2 linked regions of the Coturnix japonica genome follow. The protein of the gene in region 1 binds, or shares a complex with, the protein of each later gene. Links are inferred from orthologs where the notes say so. Each region holds a gene or a part of one and is shown in the gene's direction. Other genes may lie near its edges.

The links. The genes of interacting proteins can lie anywhere in the genome.
Region 2: the proteins of KCNMA1 (region 1) and KCNMB4 are in contact, whole or in part, in a cryo-EM structure (PDB 6V22), measured with the Homo sapiens proteins. The link is inferred for Coturnix japonica from reciprocal best matches to the Homo sapiens genes KCNMA1 and KCNMB4. Residues at the interface, in NP_001154824.1 of Homo sapiens: Phe98, Phe99, Leu102, Phe103, Leu106, Leu107, Arg109, Thr110, Tyr113, Leu114, Thr116, Val117, Asp238, Leu240, Trp241, Leu244, Pro327, Trp328, Asn330, Gln332, Leu367; in NP_055320.4 of Homo sapiens: Thr11, Glu12, Ala13, Glu14, Lys16, Ser17, Leu20, Leu24, Ile34, Phe35, Cys38, Trp39, His105, Thr164, His165, Val183, Leu186, Ile187, Leu190, Thr191, Ala194, Leu197, Ala198, Lys200, Ala201, Met204.

The regions. Positions count from the first base shown.
Region 1 is NC_029521.1:11,060,836-11,065,185, forward strand, and holds the start of KCNMA1 (calcium-activated potassium channel subunit alpha-1), read left to right. Parts: upstream 1-1,464; 5' UTR 1,465-1,806; coding exon 1,807-2,115; intron 2,116-4,350. UniProt on the Homo sapiens protein: Potassium channel activated by both membrane depolarization or increase in cytosolic Ca(2+) that mediates export of K(+). It is also activated by the concentration of cytosolic Mg(2+).
Region 2 is NC_029516.1:32,484,331-32,487,625, forward strand, and holds part of KCNMB4 (calcium-activated potassium channel subunit beta-4), read left to right. Parts: intron 1-1,833; coding exon 1,834-1,961; intron 1,962-3,295. UniProt on the Homo sapiens protein: Regulatory subunit of the calcium activated potassium KCNMA1 (maxiK) channel. Modulates the calcium sensitivity and gating kinetics of KCNMA1, thereby contributing to KCNMA1 channel diversity.

The DNA.
Region 1 (4,350 bases):
CGGTGTAACTCCATGGGCTGGGGAAAGCCATACTCACACAGGTTTTTGCATTTTGTCCATGGACAGATGAGAGGATCTGTGTGACGCTTTGTGCAGGCTGCTGGCTGAGCAGACCGTGTGCCAAATGAGGACTTTATTTAATAAATAAATAAATAGGTCGATAAATAAATAAATAGATTGATAAATAAATAATCCTCTGCTTTACAGTGGAAATCTGAGGGGGGAGGGAAAAAAGCGGGAGACAGTGATCCGGATTTTCTTGTCGGATTCCCCCAGCTCCAACGTATCACTATCAATCGTTGTTCCTATTTCTAAGGGTTAATTTCAGGAACGTTCCAGGGCCGTTCGCCACACTTCCCCGCGTCCATTCACAAAAAAAATCCCAGAACGCCCTCAGTACAGAGCGAGCCCCAACGCCTTTTCCTTGCTCCCCGCCGCCCGGCCCCGTTAGAGCCCTCCTGCACTGCAGGCACCTGCTGCTGCAGCTCAGCTCAGCTCAGCGCTGCCTGGCCCTCAGCCCCATTCAGCCCCGTTCCCCGGCCCCAAGGGGTGGTGGAAGCCCCCAGCCATGTCGTGCCGGGCTACTGCGGAGCACGGCGTGCAAGATGGGCTCCGCGGGGAGCGCGTCGGCGGGGGCCGGGGCCACGGCAGCGCCGTGCGTTAGCCGCTGCGTCATGACATCCTCCGAACCGGCCGCCCGCCCCCGCCCCTCCGCGGCTGCGGGGACCACTGCGCGGCGGCGGCGGCGGCGGCGGCGGCGATGGACCCGCCCGAGCCGGTGGGACCTGTCGGAGCGGCCGGTCGCGGCCACCTGTGAGCAGCCTCAGCCCCTCGCCGCGCCGCACCCCGGTAGTCGCCGCCACGCCTCTCTCGCCGCCCGAGGGACCCGACGGCCCCACGGGGAGCCGGAGAGCCGTCTAAGCCGGCGCCCCCTCGACGCATCTCGGCATCCCGGGCCGTCTCGCACTGCATCCTCCCGCGGAGCGCGTCCCTCGGCGGAACGAGGGGAGGAGGGGCGGGAGCCGGCGGCGCCTCTGCGCGAGTGGGAGCAACAGCGTGAGCAGCGGCAGCCTGCGCCCTGGAGCGAGCTCCCGAAGGATGGGCAAGGAGGCGGCGGCGGCAGCGCCCGCGCAGATGGGCCAGCGGAGGATGAATTAGGAGCCACAGGAGGCTGCTGCCGGCACCGCGGGGGGAAGAGGAGAGGAAGGGGCTGGACTTGGAAGAGGAGGAGAAGGAGGAGGAGGGTGCGCAGGGGGGACTGAGTATCGCTAATAACAAGTTAAAGACTAATAACAATAATAAGAGAAGACCTCCGAGAAGATCCGCGGCGGAGGCCGAGTGATCCCCGCGGCGGCAGCGGGCTCGCAGCGCTGGGGATCTCGGAGAGACGCTCGGCGGCATCTGCGTGTGGCGGTGGTGGTGGATGATTTTTTCGGGGGTGGGCGGGCGGGGGCTGCGTATGCGGGAGAAGGAAGGGGTGGGAAGCTGAGGAGCGGACTACCTTGCCGTTATTATTATTTTTTTTATTATTATTTTTATTGCTATTATTTACGCCGCGCAAGGAGGACGCTCGGAATTCACCGGCCTGCCGGCTCCCGAGAAGGGACCGGGGTTTTGCGGCGGTCGCTTTTCTTTCCCGATTATTTTTTGTTTGTTTGTTTTGATTTGGCTTTTTGTTCTCCCTCCCGTTATTTTCCCTTTCCCGCTGAGCGGTGGCAGCAATATGGCTGGTGATGGGCTTTTTGGGGGGCGCTGGCGGCGGGAGGAGCTCTCGGCAGCCCCTGCGCGCCCGGCTCGCTGTTAGCTATGGCAAATGGCAGCGGCGGCGGCTCCTACCCGGGCGGCAGCGGCGGCGGCATTAGAATGAGTAACAATATCAACGCCAACAATCTCAACACAGACTCGTCCTCCTCCCCCGTCAATGTGCCCAAGATGGATGCGCTCATCATCCCGGTGACCATGGAGGTGCCCTGCGATAGCCGCGGACAGCGCATGTGGTGGGCTTTCCTCGCCTCATCCATGGTCACTTTCTTTGGGGGACTGTTTATCATCCTGCTGTGGAGGACCCTCAAGTACCTGTGGACTGTCTGCTGCCACTGCGGGGTCAAAAACAAGGTAACTCTCCTCCCCTTCTTTTCCCGGTGGCGGTGAGGAGGAGGAGCGGAGCCCAGCCTCTGCCCGGGATACCCCTCGGTGGTGCGGGAGTGCTACGGGGGGTGGGTGGCAGCGCTGTGCCCGCTCTGCAGGGCCACCTCGGGCTGCAACATGGGGAGCGAGCCTGGCGGCGGAGGGCGAGCCCCGAAAGGTGCCCCAGGCTCCACTCGCCCACGTGGGGACGCGGCTCTGGGGGCACCGAAGTGGTAGCGCGCTGGGACGGAGCGGTTCAGAAGTTGTACGCACCGCCGGGGCCGCTCGTGGCAGAAGCGCGACCGGTGCTCGTTGTGCGCTGCGAGCCCTCCGTTCTTCTGTGTGGGAAACTTCGGCAAAATTAACGTGGTGAACTTCTCACTCCAGTCAGTCTTTGTAAAGCTAGTTCTACACGACTCTAGATTCTCGTCTATCACACTTCTGTCTCAAAAATTAGGTGTAAGTATCTGGAGTTGTATCTGCTAGAGTACATTCAGAAATAAGGCGCTAGATCTCGTCTCTCTAAACTAATTGTGATATCTCAGAAGCGACCTTTTGCATTTTTTTGCCTATTACCAACAGGAAAAAAGTGTAGTATGTGCAGTAAGATCAGTTTCTGCTCTGAAGGTCCCTATCAAGCCGAGGCTGAAATCTCGCCTAGGTCCAGGCTTTCATTTTTGTTTAAGACAAATGGGATAGAAAGTGTTAAGACTCTGTATTTGTGAAAGTGGACTTTGACAGACCCCAAAATAGACCAGCAGCTGGAGTTTCTCCCCTTCCCTTTTCACATTTTTTGGATTACAAATGGAATAATATCGGCTTCAGTTATTCCTGGCACACGGACACCCACAAAAACACACACACCTTTTAATATATGGTTGCTAGGCTGCTGGTTTGCTTTGACGTACAGTGAGCTGTCTTCCCCTTTCTCCTGTGTCCTCTCCTTGAAGCACACTCCAAAGGGCTTCAGACAGCATCCAGCACCTATGGGAACCAGCTACAAAGTTACGGTGCAAGGGGCTCCCTCTTTGTTTGCCATGAGCTCAGTGAGTGACTGGGAGACTGAGTGAGCCCCTCTTCTGCCATTGAAAGGTGTATCTCTTGCAGGGAACTGGGCCTATCTATGGAAGAAGGGAGCATGAGAGATGGAGCATAAGTAAAAGCTATTAATCTGGCCTTAAGCTGCAGGAAACCTCCCAGGCTGTATCACTTCTCTGTAGACATGTTTTATTCTGCACAAAATCAAACCCAAACTTTTTCAGAGAGGTGATAGCTAGATACGATGACAAAGCTCAAATGCATTTGCTATAATTCACGTGTCTTGTAAAATACCATTTCCTACATGGCAATTTTCAAGTGGTGGAGTATTTTAGAATTGTGCTTATTTTCTTCTGTATGTATTTAGTATTCTCTGCATGATGAGACAAAGCTGCAAGGGGATCCTGAAGGAAAAGAAAATCCTACAGGTCATTGCCAGCTACTTCTTTCCTTGAGAGAATTAAAAGTGGAGCGAAGAGGTTTCTGTGTAGAGTTCATACATAATGTCCTGGTGGGTCTTGTTGGTCCAACAGCCCATTGTTGGGGTGTAGTTCAAGCAGATAATTCAGCCCTAATTCAGTACAGATAAGCATATCTAACTTGTCTTTAAAACCTTTTGGGCTATATGTATCTGCTAGTTAAATAACAGATGTTGTTAAGGGGTTCCGACTCTAACAGTCTGAGTGATTTGGCAGATGGCACTTATGTGGGGTTGCAAGATCTGAGTGTCTCACATATGTGAGACCTGGAGGAGCTGCCGTGGTCATGAGCATCCCTGGGGCAGGAGGAGAGAGGGCTTTGCAGGAAGGGGGAGATAGATTTCTCCTTTTAGATCGTGTCTGGTACACTTGTAAAGGTTTCCAAGTCTCTGGTGAGCAAGAACTGTCATGGACTGATCCTGCATTCCTTCCAGGCTAAAATGGGGGGGAATTCCATGTGGGAAAGGAGTAACAGTTACTGGAGAACATTGTTTTTATTAGTTAGGGTATGAAGGTGGAAGGAAAATCTATAAGTGCCTTGTGCTGCATGGTAACTTGGGATGGGCTGCCTGGGCTGCAGGTGAAAAATGCAAAAGCATGCACACACTGTGTCAACTGTATTGGATATGCTAGTGAAAGCCATTTCACAAGAAGCAGCAGCTCCTCCTGCTGTGGAACTGAAGAAGTTTTCTCTGTGTTAGGACCT
Region 2 (3,295 bases), on another chromosome or scaffold:
CACATCTGTACAAGCAAAGCTAAACCAGGACTAGTTACCATCTAACTTTTGAGACAGAGTGGTGGAACTGGGAGGACGTGATCTCTGCTTCACGCCAGCGCAGCAGTTTGGTGGTGGAGTTGGGATTCCTCCAGGGATGCTCCAATGGTTGTGAGTCATTGGCCCCGCTGGCTGGGGTAGATGAGGGGCCTGATGCTGCAGAGATACCGGTGGGGAAGCACTGTGTAGCAAACACAGCAGACACAAAGCTTACTAAAACCATGGTGTGAAGTCGTGTTAGCTGCTCTCTGACACTTTTACTGAATTGAATCCTGAGTCATCTATCCAAACAGCGGCTTTGACTGAGGAGTGAATATTATTAGCTTAGTACTGATTTTGAGCTGTGTAATTGAGACTGCATTTAAATTGCATAATGATGTTATTGTTGCTGTGATGTAGTGTAGGAGGTGCGCTATGTACTGATAGATCGTATGAAAAGCTCCCCGCATCATTAGGTTTATTCTGAATGTCTAATCTTAAGCGCTGTTCTCCGACTTCTTTGTAACAGACTGAAGAAAAACCATCAAAGTATTACAGGGTGGGACCCTTCCACTGAAAATGGATGTTGCTTCTTAGGCTGCAATTAAGCGCGAGGCATCCTAGCTTGCTTTCAGACACTTGGCATTTAGTTACGTTTTGATGGTAGGATTTCACACTGTGTATTGTGGGGGAGGACTGTGGAATTAACCTTTCAGAAACTGCCTGTTGCCAAAGCTGGAGGTCATCCCAGGTTCACCTACCAGCTCATGGCACTGGAAGGTTCCAGATTATTGTTCCTGTCTATCCCATCTAAGGAGCCAAAATGAACGCCGGGTTAGTGAGAACTATTGATGGCATCCTGGGGAAGCAAATGAGCTCCAATGTATGTGCAGCAGGTGATAAATCAAGTTTGGAGTTGGACTTAAGGTGCTGCCTGCTGCTCAGGGCCCTTACTGGGTTGAGTAGATCTTTCAGGGGGACCCGTAGGATTCATGTAGGGACCACTCCTTTCTTTGAGGTCGTTGTTTCTCAAGAGGTTCAACCAGTGAGGTTCCAGTGATTTATGACAAGATTCCATGCATTTCCTTTGTGTTTTTCCCATGAAGATACAGAGAGAAGAGACAGAAGCAAATCTAGTTCATTTTCAGATCAAGATAAAAGGGTGGGAACTACTGTAAAAAGACAAGACTTGAGTGTTGTGAGTGATCCAGGGCTACATCTCTGAAAGCCCAGTCTCAAGTGTGCTGTGGTTGGGGAGACAATGCGCTTGGTCTCCTGGGGCTTTGAAGCAGATATCCAAACCCAGGAGCTTGCGTCTCTATGGCTGACTTCTCTATGGTAGAAGCAGACACTGAACTGCTCTGCTGCACTGAGGGTTGGAACTTTCTGTGCTGCTTTTTGCTCAAGTAAAAGTGGCAGAAAACGTTCTTTGTGCCAAAGAATATCAGCTAGATATCAGATATCATTGTCTGCAACTTGCTGGAATACTTTGATTGTTTCCACATTCATCACCACAGCAAATCAAACCAAACACCCATAGGTGTTACACGGCAGGTTGGTTTGATAACAGAACAAAACATGATTAATCTTTGATTTTGTTTCTGAATGTTTCTGAATCCTTTTCCAGTACCTGCAGGGTGTAACTATCAAGTCAAGTCAAGTTCAGCTTACTTATTAGTTGCCTTTCTTTGGAGCCTGTATTAATTCTTCTTTGCCCATTTCAGTAGTGTTGGCATTCAGAGGAAGATGCAGAGAAAGCGATGCCTGGTGTTCTCAAGCACAAAAGTAACTCTGTTTTGCTGCATGTGTTGACAGTGTTCCTACATCCCTCCCTGTGCCAGAGATGATCAGGAGAACTCTGAGAATGTCACGTACAAGCAGAAATACTGGAAGGAGAAAGTGGGTTCACAGCCCTTTACTTGCTATTTTAACCAGCACTTGAGGTAAGTAATGTATGTTTGCATAGATGGAAGTGCTTATATGTGTGTTTAGCAACTGTCTCTTGGTTCTTTCTGCACAATGTGTATGTACATTCATGTAGTGATGAAGCTTAATGCAGGGAATTTAGTGTAAGACAGCTCTATTGGTGAAAAGCTACGTGGGAATGGAAAAGCGTTTTTACCACTTGAGGTAAAAAATACAAAGCTCTAAGGAGAGTTCCCTTTAAATCATGCAGTATTATGGCAAAAAGCATCTTTTTTATTTTTTTCAGTGCCTTGAGAGAACAGCAGTGATGGGGGTGACGGGCCCATGTAGATGAGGAAGGGGAAAGAAAATACTTAAGGTATCCAGGTCAGGCAAGGTTTGTGGGACTTTGCTTCCAGTTCCAAAGGGATCTGGCATGGAGAACTGAAGCAAGCTGGCAGGTACAGAGAGTCCTGACTCCCCTGGGTAGTCTGCTGGACACCTCAGGCCTTCAGGTTCCTCCTACTCTGGCTATGGCTGTTGTCCCCTCCCTGCTGAGACTGTAGTCCTGGTTGGCATGCCCTGGAGAACAGTCTGTTGTCTCCAGCCAGCTTTGTGAAAGTTAGCCATTAGCGACAGTGCAGAGAAATAGGATCTTTTAATCTCACTCAGAATTAAGTGCCTGACTATGTTGGGTGCCCAGAGGTGTTTGTCTATCTCCTGTAATGGAGCTTAGGGCAATATGCCCAGGTGCAGATACCCATGTGGTGTGCTGGGGTGGGTGAGCTGATTCTCATGTCACATCTGCAGCTGGGGCTGAGGCAAAGTTACGAGATGTGCTGCCTAAGCTCTGCTATTTGTTCTGTGCCAATTGTGCAGCACTTGGGAAAGGCTTTTTCCTTATATTTGCTGAATCCTGTATTGTTAAATGTTATTGCCAAATGTTATGGCTGCCTTGAAGTGCTGCTATTTCTTTGATTGTACAGCAATTTATATGCAGCAGAAGAAAGGCTCGCTGCCAGAGATACTTGAAGTTAGTCTATGCTGAAATGTGTACACCATCTATTTTCTTCTGGAGATAGAAATGAGCTTTGAAAGATAAGTTTTGCTGACTCTAAGGGTGCTTGCTTAGGTGTACTTTTGCAGCTCTGATAATTATGGAGCTTGCCAAGCGAGAAGAATCATACAAACAATGGAAAAATATGTTCAATTCAGGAGAAAAATCTGCAGGTCTTCTGTCAGCAGTTTTTGAACTGTGTGGTGCAGCAAACTGCTCCCTGTCTCTGTAAGACAGAAAGGGTGGAATAAAGTTCTAGAGGAATGAATTGGCATCATCTTCTCTTTATGAAATTTAATTTGGTAATGCTGTCAG